3 linked regions of the Tamandua tetradactyla genome follow. The main gene of each other region encodes a partner of the protein of the gene in region 3 in a complex. Links are inferred from orthologs where the notes say so. Each region holds a gene or a part of one and is shown on either strand. Other genes may lie near its edges.

What was found. Proteins that work in one complex are often made in the same cells at the same time.
Region 1: CASP8 (region 3) and MEFV share a complex: the UniProt entries of both Homo sapiens proteins name them as parts of the AIM2 PANoptosome complex. The link is inferred for Tamandua tetradactyla from reciprocal best matches to the Homo sapiens genes CASP8 and MEFV.
Region 2: CASP8 (region 3) and AIM2 share a complex: the UniProt entries of both Homo sapiens proteins name them as parts of the AIM2 PANoptosome complex. The link is inferred for Tamandua tetradactyla from reciprocal best matches to the Homo sapiens genes CASP8 and AIM2.

The regions. Positions count from the first base shown.
Region 1 is NC_135349.1:54,087,185-54,090,934, reverse strand, and holds the start of MEFV (pyrin), read right to left. Parts: upstream 2,593-3,750; 5' UTR 1,021-2,592; coding exon 705-1,020; intron 1-704. UniProt on the Homo sapiens protein: Involved in the regulation of innate immunity and the inflammatory response in response to IFNG/IFN-gamma.
Region 2 is NC_135330.1:12,188,388-12,192,137, reverse strand, and holds the start of AIM2 (interferon-inducible protein AIM2), read left to right. Parts: upstream 1-1,461; 5' UTR 1,462-2,110; intron 2,111-3,750. UniProt on the Homo sapiens protein: Sensor component of the AIM2 inflammasome, which mediates inflammasome activation in response to the presence of double-stranded DNA (dsDNA) in the cytosol, leading to subsequent pyroptosis.
Region 3 is NC_135329.1:175,796,905-175,800,654, forward strand, and holds the start of CASP8 (caspase-8), read left to right. Parts: upstream 1-1,133; 5' UTR 1,134-1,204; exon of another isoform or gene 1,205-1,529; intron 1,530-3,750. UniProt on the Homo sapiens protein: Thiol protease that plays a key role in programmed cell death by acting as a molecular switch for apoptosis, necroptosis and pyroptosis, and is required to prevent tissue damage during embryonic development and adulthood.

The DNA of each region.
Region 1 (3,750 bases), on a different chromosome or scaffold from region 3:
CAAAGGTTTTAACTGACCTGGTATTAGGCCCCAAGAAAATCTCAAAAAAAAAAAAAACCTTTAATGGCAGATGTGAATGGCTTTAATCCCAATGAAATAAAATTAGAAAGGTACAACAAAAGGGTGTAGAACAAGGTGGAGAAAGAGAGAAACGAAAATATAGAAGAAGGGAGGGAGGGAGGGAAAGAAAGAAAAGAAAAGAGGGAAGGAAGGAAAGAAAGAAGGGAAGAGGAAAGAAAGGAGGGAGGGGGGAAGACAGGGAGAAAGGAACGAAAAAAGGAAGGGGTGAAGAATTAAGAAATCCTCTTAGAATTTATAAAGACCCTTTTAAAGGGTGTTAAAGAACTCAAAGCTGAAACGAGGCGGCCAACAGTGAGCAGATCACATCCCAACCCCTGACAACAGGCTTGGTTAGCAAGCCCTTTTTGCTACCTGGAGGTGACTTGTCTGCACACGTGTTAAATCGCAAGTCAAGGGACGATTTCTCAGCCTCCAGAGTCCTGGCCAGGAGGAGCCTCAGGCTCTTTACCAACCCAGGTCCCAGGACCCAGGAGGAGAGAGGGGTTGGCCTGGCCAAGGTCCACCGAGGGTGGGGAGACCTGGGATTTCTATCTCCCGGGTCTGGAGTTTCCAGCGGACCAGCTCCCAGTCCGCCTTCCCAGTTCCCACGGACAGCAGCGGGTGGGGGCTGGGGCCTGCCTTACCCTTCCCCGAGGCCCTGAGGAGCTCCTCGGCCAGGAGGCGCTGGTTGATGGCCCGCAGCACCTGCATGGTCAGCCGCAGAGCGTCCTCCTCCCCGTAGTGGCTGATGAGCAGAGAGGCCACCTTCACAGGCCCGGCCATCTGCAGCAGGCCCCGGGGGATGCGGGGTTGCTCCTTCTCCAGGCTGGTGTTCTGCAGCTTGAACTTGAACTTCTCAAAGTCATAGGGCACCAGGTCCTCCAGGGAGAACAGCAGATGGTCACTGGGGGTCTTGGCCATGGCGTGGACCAAGGAGAGGCCACAGCCGGCCAGGAGCATAAGAGGCCCCTTGTCTGGAGCCCGGTGTCTGAGCAAGAAGAGCCGACTTGAGAAATAACGGAAAAGGCACAGGAAGTGCACCGAGCTTTGGTGGGAACTGAGACTGAAGTCATGGTGTGTCAACACCGGCTGGTGTTCTATGTCTCCAGCTCGGAGGGGGCAGTGTCCTGCAGCCACGCATACCTCCAGGCCCCCCAGCTTTCCCCTCTGCTGCCTAGGCTGCAAAGAGGTGGGCAAGGCGGTGATGGAAGGCCTGGCTGGGTGCCATTCCAGGTTCTTGGTCCTAGGGTGGGCACTCAGATGCTTTGCTCTCTCTTCCTTCCAGGACACAGAGCTGGCGGAGGAGGTGGGGCTGAGAACAGAGCTCCCGGTCCCCCTCTGGCCAGCTGTTCTCCTCCAGACTCTTGGGGTTTCATGGGCCCTCCAGGGCCAAGGGCAAGAGAAGGGACAGCAAATACAGGCCTGCAAGCTTTCCCTGCCCTGTCCAAGAAGGCTGCTGAGGCAGGCAGGACACTGCCAGGAGACGAGCCCTGGTGGCACCTCCGTTGATGCAGTTTCAGCTGTTTGGACCTTCTCACCACGCCAAGGCCTTGAAGTGCAAAGCCTGCGACCACCATCTTGATTTTTTGCTCCTGATTCTGCCTTCACTGGAGGGCAGGGTGGACATTCCCTGGAGCCCCAGGTCACTCTTCCACGCACATCTACCAAACTCAAGTGCCAGGATGCTGGAGTGCGACAGTGAAAACAGACACCGGGTCCTCAAGGGAGTGCAGGCCAGCGTGGAGCCCAGAGGTGGCCCGGACGTCAATGGAAACTCCAGGTGGGGTGGGTTGCTCTTGATTGCCTGCCTCTGTCTTTTTGCACGCCTTGGTTTTTTTACCCAACTTTTTACTTTTAAAAATTATGCAACAACAACAACAAAAATTTCAAAAAAAAAAAAAAACACAAAAATTTCAAAACTACAGAAAAGTTGAAAGCATTATACAATGAACATAACACAACATGTTCTTTACCTGGATTCACCAATTGTTTGCATTTTGCTATATTTGCTGCTTTTTCTTCTCTCTCACACACACACATACACATGCACTTCTTCCCCCCCCAACCATTGGGCAATAGAGAACATTTTCACACATCACTCCAAATGCCCTAAATATTCCCAAGAACTAAGACACAAGGATATTACTTTAAATCCTCATAATACAATTATTACACTCAAGTGTAATATACAATTATAACATTGTTAACAGTACTACAATCAGTCCATAGTCAAATTTTGCCAATTGTACTAATAGTGTCTTTCATAGCTTTTTTTTTCCCAATCCAAGATCCAGTCAAAGACCATGCGTCACATTTAGTTGTCATGTCTCTATAGTCCCCCTTTAGCTAGAATACTTCCACCCTTCCCCAGCCTTCTTTTTTCTTCAAGATATTGATGCAAAGTCCCCTTTGGGGAATGGTGAGAAAGGAGGAAAATTCAACTTCCCCAAGTGAAGAATTCCTGATATTCTCACAAGCAGTGGGGACAACCAAAGCAAAAGGCTGAGCCCTCAATCTTGGGATATGTTCATATGAACCTTAACCCCACAGAGGATAGGCTAAGCCTACTTAAAATTAGGCCAAAGAGTCACCCCCAGAGAACCTCTTCTGTTGCTCAGATGTGGCCTCTCTCTCTCTCTCAGCCAACACGACAAGCAAACTCATTGCCCTCCCCCTCTCTATATAGGACATGACTCCCAGGGGTGTGGATCTTCCTGGCAATGTGGGACAGAAACCCTAGAATAAGCTCGGACTCAGCATTAAGGGATTGAGAAAACATTCTCGACTAAAATGAGGAAGAGAGAAATGAAACAAAATGAAGTGTCAATGGCTGAGAGATTCCAAACAGAGTCGAGAGGTTATACTGGAGGTTATTCTTATGTATTAAATAGACATCACCTTGTTAGTCAAGATGTAATGCAGAGGCCGGAGGGAAGTGCCTGAAAATGTAGGGCTGTGTTCCAGCAGCCATGTTTCTCGAAGATGATTGTATAATGATACAGCTTTTGCAATGTGACTGTGTGAGTGTGAAAACCTTGTGTCTGATGCTCCTTTTATCTATAGTATGGACAGATGAGTAAAACACATGGATTAAAAATAAATAAATAATAGGGGGAACAAATGTTAAATTTAGTAGATTGAAATGCTAGTGATCAATGAAAGGCAATGATAAGGGGTATAGAAAAAAATACGGGAAACACAGGCTAAAATATATTGGATAGATGGAAATACTAGCAATAAATGAGAGGGAGAGGTAAGGGGTATGGTATGTATGAGTTTTTCCTTTTCTCTTTTTCTTTCTTTTTCTGAATTGATGCAAATGTTCTAAGAAATGATCATGGTGATAAATACACCACTATGTGATAATATTGTGAGTTATTGATTATATACCAAGAATGGAATGATCATATGGCAAGAATGTTCCTGTTTGTATGTTGTTACATTGAAAAAAATAAAAGACAAAAAAAAAGATATTGGTGCTTTTGAAAATTCTATTCCAAGAAGAATATCCCTCAAGTGAGATTTATCTGATTTTTTCCTCCTTAGACTGAAGATAATATTCAAGTGTCCTCAAGGTCTTCCCATTATAATATTTTTCTTTGTAATTAATCAATAACCTGAGAATGTATAAATGTCTTGTCCTCCCACAATCTTTCATCAGTGGTCTTAGCATCCACTGATGATCTCTTC
Region 2 (3,750 bases), on a different chromosome or scaffold from region 3:
CTAGCTTTTGATTTAAAGTGGGAGACGTGCGACTCTTCCTTTCACTTGAACACTTAGAAGCCATTGTAGGGTTATTGAATGGTCTTATTTCAATATTGTTGTGTCTCAGGGAATAGGGAGAGCTGAGGAGAGGAAAAGGGACAGGGGAACAGCCAGCCAGTGGAGCAGTCTGAACACATATGACATTTATCAGTTAAGTTTGCTGTATTATATGCGCATGGTTTGTGGAATCCCAAATTATTTTCAAATTTATGATTTAAATTTTGTAATAAAATAGATGGAAACAAAGGAGGCATTTGAAGGGTGGGGTGGAATTAAAACGTGTGCTCAAAATGTCCTCTTGATCCTGAAATCTAGCTAGATGAACATGGCCTTGATTTTTTTTCTTTTCCTCACTTCTAGGCCATTTTATATCAGGGGTTCTGAGCCTGAAAAGTTGCTTCTGACCTTTTGCATCCTTCATGTTTTTATGTTAAACAGAGAACCATCCCTTGATTTAGGAAAGGAGATGAATAATCACACTTTCAGTTTCATCTGGAGAAGCAGTATCTCACTGAATAGCTTGGCACTACCCAGTTTTATAAAATACATTTTATATATACAAAATGCATGTAGTTCAACTACAATTTGCCTGGAACCCTAGAATGGGGCCTAAAATGGGGGTCCAGAGGAGTTGAGATAGCTGGCTTTGCCAGTGTCTGTACTCAGGATAGGAATAATAGGTGCTTATTTGTAAGTCTGCGTGGAAAGTCTGCCTTGATGGGGACTGCGTTCTTAACCCTGAGGCATGATCACTATAGTGGCCAAGACGAGTTCAGTTCCTACAAGACATGGTGAGCTCTTTTCTTACGGGATTTGAGTTCCAGATCGTGTGCATACCAGACAGCCCAAACGATCCATAGTAATATTGCAGTTCAAGTACTAGTCCTCAATGTCCAAGGGCAAACTCATATTTTTCAGTACTGTTGTATTCATTACAGTTGCTAGGACTCAATCCGAGGCAATGGCAAAAAACATCTGCAAGAAAACTATAACTACCTCCAAACTCTTGCTTAAGGAATGGAGAGCTAAGAAAGCCTGCTATAACTACTTAAAATTTCCAGGAGATGAAGCTGAGCACATAAATGCTAAATAAATATCTGTTGAATGAAGGGACAGATAAATGAATGAATTTAATATCAGTTTAAATTTCTTAATACAATCTGTCAGCTTTTCTTTTACTTTACATTTAGGTTGACACCATGCAGGACAAGCACTTGTGGTGGGAGATAGTTGTAGGAGACCTGACACTTAACTTGTGCCAAACCCTGGGTTAGGTTATCTAGACTTTATCTCAGCTCTACCTTGCCCTGCTCCAAGGTATGGAGCACACATGATGCTAATATGATCACCGATATCTCCTCCAGTTACTTCCTCTCCTTCGATTATCTAGCAGGATTTATCAGCTCACTCACTTCTCTGCATGACTTAACCATAATTACAAACAGCCTCAACCAAGGCTATGGGAATCTACTGGCCCATATGGAAGACAAAAAGGAATGTTTGAGCAGTGGTTCTCAAACTTCACTGTGCAGCAGAATCACCTTGGAGAGCTTTTTAAAATACTGTTTGTGGATGCCATCTTCAGAGTTTGTGATTCGGTAGTTCTGAGGTAAGGCCTCCAAATTTGCACTTCTAAAAGTTTACAGGAGACGCTGATGCTGCCTGCCCGGGGACCACACTGTGAGAACCAGTACTCTAGGTTGTGAACTTCCTTAAAATTTAGGAAACAAAATAGAGAAGGAGCTATTTGCTTTCATTTCTTCATGCTAAAATGTCTTTGGCTGAAATTTCAAGTTGGGAGGAAAACTGGTCAGACTTGTCTAAGACAAGAAACAGAAAGTTAAGAACTTTGATGGGAGGAGCCTTAAAATCCTGCACATTGTTAAATGCAAGAGCTGGTTAACTTTCGAAGTGAAACAGCCAGTAGCACTTTTTCCTTGTCTTTCAAAATCTCTTCTTACCATGGCCCACCATTCTAACTAATGAAGAGCTCTAGCTAGTTCTAGCTAACAGTCGTCCCTGAAACTCTGAATTCACAGCTAGGCTGTTGTGGAAGAGAGCCAGTAAGGTAAGGCCCCTGGGAAATTTTCTACAGAAATCTCAGGGGAATCAGTTGCTAATCTGAACATCAAGAGAAATAGTGATTATGGGTTTTTGTGGTGGGAAGAAAGGCTAGTATTTACTATATCCAAAAAAGAAGAGCTGTAGGCAATCTGATCTTAAACCTTCAGTTGACTGAGGAACAGATGCCATGTTTTATTTCACCATAAGGTGAAATAAAACTTTAATAAAAGGAAATGCATTTGGCCGCAGCAAGTGTTGGAATAAATTGTTCAAGGACTTGACCCAGAATGAGCCTAAGAGGAATTCTGGTTTTCTGGGTGTGTTGACCTCCAGGTTGCTTATTGACATGAGTTTATGTTTAGAAGAGGGCTTTTGATATCTGGCTTATGAAGGAGAGAGAGAAACTTAGGATCTGGGGAGCGATTCCTGGAAAAAATACAAGAACAATGGCGTGTCAAAAGGCCTATTCTGTGATATTTGGTTAAAAACATCAGAGCACAAAATTGTATTTTACAGAGTTCTTGCAATTAAAAAAAAAAAAAACCCACAGCAGATAAACTCTCATTCCACAAACTCAGATATGCAAGGAGTGTGGATTTATAACATTTTTCTGTTACACAGTAATTTCTATTTCCTCTAGTCTGTTAGAGGTCAGAAAATGTATTTCAGTCCATTTAAGGTTGGACCCCAGTTTTCCCACAGTCATGGCTAAATTCCTGGAGTTTGGGAAACCAGTTATTTTCATATTATAACTATTCTTTGAAATTTGCCAAGGCATCTTTTATAGTTCTTTTGAATATATAATAAATATTTCTAAGTGTTCCATCAGATCAAAATTGTTAATTGTGCTATTCAGCTCTTTTATATTTTTGCGGATTTTTTTGATACTTGAGCTATAATTTATTGATAGAAATTTGCTATAATCTCCCATCATCATGGTGTATTTGTCAATTTATTCCTGAAGGTTTATCAATTATTGTTTGTATCTGTTGAGTCTATTTTGTTAGGTACCTACATGTTTCGAATTGGTATATTGTTTTGGTAAACTTAATCTTTAATCATTGTAAGGAAATGATATCCTTAATGATGCTATTTGTCTCAAAGTCTTCTTTGATTGATAGTAATATAGTTATACTATCTGCCTTTTGGTTAGTATTTGCATAATGTAACTCTTCCCATTATTTCTTCTTCAACTTTTCAGTATTTTCATGCTTTAGATTGTTATCTGTAAAAGCATAGGAACTGGATTTAAAGCAAAATTTTCTTATTAGAAAAGTTGCATGAAAAATATTGCAGAAAATACAGAGTTCCCATATCATTAACACCTTTTATTAACACCTTGCATTAGTATGGTACATTTGTTATAACTGATGAAAGAATAATACTATAATTGTACTATTACCTATAATCTCCTTCTGGGAGAATAAACTCGTTAAAGTCTCGGAAGACTTCTTCACAACTTCACATGAGTGATAGGCATTAGATCCGAGGAGAGTTCAGAACTTCCCTTGGTAGAATGGAAATGGAGAACCTAAAACATAATAAGATGGTTCTTTGGGTGGATTAACTGTGGCAGTAGTGATAAAATCCTTTGAGGGAGCCATAAAAGAAGGTTCTCTGTGTCCATCCATGGCCACCCCTCCT
Region 3 (3,750 bases):
TTTTGAATGAAGCTTCCCAGTTGGGCCTTCTGAATAGTCAACTATAAGGCAGAAGTTAAGAATCTGAAGTAGCAACAGTTCGGTAGTGTCGGAGTTTTCAGATGTTTCCAATTCTATGCACACATCTACTTGGATGACATTATTCTAAAGCATTTTGTACAGATCTTTCATTACATGTTTATTTCCTCGTTATTGTTAGAAATGGTCTGTTTTTTCCTAGGCAGTGGCAGTCAACTTCCCCCTCAGTTGTCTGTTTTCCACTGTTGTCTGGTATTCTTCATGGCTTATCTCCACAGGAGGAAAAATTTTTAACAGACCCAAAAGTTAAGATTTTATTCACAAATCTTCTTTGTTGTACAGAAAGTAAAAGTGCTATTACACACTCAGTGTAACCAGTGTAACTGGTTAGGAATCCCCTGCGCAGCTAGCCATGCTACAGCAAAGGCTCACATGAAAACCTCACAACGCTTACAATTTTATTGGGGTGAGACCCCCTGAGCTTGGCAGTAGATTTCTAAGATGGACTGAGGAAGGGGGAATGCCGTAGGAACTATTCTTAGGCTCTTTGAGTGGACGAGTTTTCTAGGGTTTGTATCACAGCTACCTTTAAAAAAAAAAAAAAAAAACAGCTACCGAATCCAAAAGAGTGGTCCAACCAGTACTGAACAGTTCTTTTTTTGCAGGTTATCTGAAGTCTTAATAGTATTCTCCTTCATCGTCTGTTTCTCTCTACGTCTTTTCACCTTTCCCGCTTCTTCCTCTCTTTGTCTTCATCTTCATCCTCACCCCCTTCGCCTTCATCGACTTCTCCATCGTGTCCAGAATCTCCCTCCTCCCCTCCGCTGACTTCATCTTCATCTTCTCCCCCTTCTCCATCTTCATCCTCTCCATCGTCAAACTCTTCGTCCTCGGCCACACCGTCCACCTGGGCATCCGAGTCGGGGCTCCGGGGCCTCCGGTCGCGGCCGTCGGGGTGGGTCAGCGAGCCGGGCCTGAGGCTCCCGCGCAGCCCTTGGGGCCGGGGACCTCCAGCCACAGGCCCCGGCGCCCCAGACAGCCCCGCTGGGTCAAAGCTCCCAAGGTGCTGACAGCTTCTGACCATTTCCGCTTACGTCCAGACGTGTGAGATTCGGAAGTTTTTCCGCTACCATGTGCAGATCTCCCAAGATTCTCCTGTCACTAAGCTCAAGTTTTTTCAGCTGAGGTAGTTTGAGAAAATTTGAAACTGAAGTCAAGGTTATATTTGCCACGCTGAGGCACTCTAAATTCACAAATTCAGCTGCGAAACCCTCAATTTTCCATCGTTTGATTTGCAATTGTCCAGGACAAGTTCTCGAACCGCCGCCGTGTCCGGTTCCTCGGCTCCAGGTGGATCCTCCTCTTCTGGTCCTTGGCTCCTCTTCCCGGCTCGTCAAACTTAACTTTCCGCCGCGGGGGCGAGGGCAGAGCGGCCGGGCCGGCCCGACGAGGCGCGGCGAGGCGAGGCGAGGCGAGGCGAGGCGCAGGGAGGCTGCAGGCGGCGGCCGGGTCTCGGGCCGAGGGGGGAGAGGCGGAGGGGCGGGGGCGGAGGGAGAGGTGGCCGGGTCAGCCCGGCGAGGCGAGGTGCAGGGAGGCTGCAGGCGGCGGCGCGGTCCCGGGCCCAGGGGGGAGAAGCAGCGGCCGGCGCGGCGAGGCGCAGGGGAAGCTGCTGGCGGCGGAGCCCCCGGGTGCCCGGGACCCGTGGGAGCCGAGAGAAACCCAGGAAGGAAAAGGGGCTGGAGCGCGCGCGGCTGGCACTCCCCACAGTAGAAAACTCATTCACTCCGAATAACAGCTTCTCTTAAAGATCTAATGTTGATGCTCAAGGAAGTACCCGGGACTTAATAGGGGCCCTTTAAGAAAGCTTAACTTTCCTGTGGGGGAAGGGCCTTATAATGCATTCAAAACAAACCAAGGAAAACTAGCACTGGTGATCTTTGCAGTATCTCTGGTGATAATGTTTCGGATGTATCTTTTAAAATGAAATCTCATATCTGAGATTTCTATGTAAGTCTCCTTTGCACTGTCCCCAGATGCTTCCAGCAGCTCGGCCAGTTCTGCCAGGCTCTGCCTGCTGGGAGGCAGTAGTGCACAGGGCTCAACAGGTGCCCTGTGGTGGGAAGCTCCTAGGGTCAGGTCCTTGCCCTGCCTCTCAACAGCTGAGTGACTTTGAACTTCCTTTCCTCATCTGTGCAATATCCCGAATAATTAGCACCCACCTTCTAGCTAAAATAACAATAGTAGTGGATAATTATTGAGAACTCTGCAAGTCCAGGCACTATTCTAATTGCTCAAACTGCATATCTCCCATAGCTCCGCTCATGTGGGAGCTCCAGTGCTCCGCGTTTTAAAATCCTCTACATTAAATTCTGAGATCAATAAGGTTGAGAGTCAGGTTCATGTTTGGCAGACTTCATTCTGTCACTCACTAGCTGAATGAGCTTGGCCAAGGGTTTCAACCTCTCTAAACCTCAGTTTCTTCAGCTATAAAATGGAAATAAAAATATTATGCACCTCTGAGAATTGTTTGGCAGTTGCAAAAGAACTATTTAGGTATGTCTGGCACACAAACAGTTTGATCAATGTTAGCTCCTGTCATTATTAAACCAACTCCTTTTTCTCAGGTGACAGAGAACCAGTAATTTCTGACCTTTTTTCCTACATTACTCTATCTTTACTTAGATTTGTTGCTCCTCCGTCCACATGGTTCTTTTCAAATCCTGTGTTGGGGTGGGTGGGACTGGGGGTAGGGGAGTTTGTTACAGCAGAAAAATCCTTGTCTTTAGCCCAGTAGGACTGAGTTGAATCCAGGTGACTATTTGAGCCTCAGTTTTCCCATCCATAACATGGGAGAGCAATCCTCAGTATTGCTGTAACAATTAGAGATAATTCATGTAAAGGGTGCAACATATATATAGTTATTGTAAGAATATCGGTGTTCTGGTTAAAAATATAAAACATGAAAACAGAAAAGGCAGAAACCCCTTTAAAAATTGAAACAGGAAACAGGCAGAGAGTGGGAGAGTGGAGGTTGAAAAAAGCAGAGGAGGGCCTGGGGTTCAGGGCCCTGGGGGACCCACCTCAGTATTACCATCATTCCCAGCTCTGCTGGTCACTGTTGATCCCAAGGGCCCTGGGGATGGGAACTAAAGGGTTGTTGCCCCTAAGGGTTGGACCAGACCTTCCCTTTATTGTGTAAACTCTCTCCACTTTTCAGCCTGAGGCTGCTTTGATTTAAGATAAAACTGAAGGGGTTGGAGGGGCCTAGTCTGTGGCTTCGGTGCTGAGATTTGGATCAGAGCACAAAGGGAAAAATCCTCCCCTAACCCCTTTCAAGAGAGAAGGGCATTTTACTTGCCACGGGCTCAAGCCTGTCTTTGAAAATTACGGGGGTTATTAATACTAAAAGTTGCCAGTGTCATGCTTTTCAATAGAGCAACTTCCAGCTTCCTGGCTGTTTTGTTGTTGTTGTTTGCAAATTAATAATTGTCTGCCATCTCCCTCTTCTGAATAGTTCGATTGAACATTGAACATTTTGCTTCATGGTGAGTTGTTTCTTTCTGCGGTTTCAAAATAAAGTTTACGCTGTTGTTTTTTCTGTTGAGGAATTCTCTCCCATGCTTGGTGATGATCAGATGCTGTCTTTCTGCTGGAAGATAATGATTTTACAGGTCTCCCTTCGTTTGTCTCCTCTGATTTTTTTTTTTTTTGCCTTTCTTTTTTTTGTTTTTA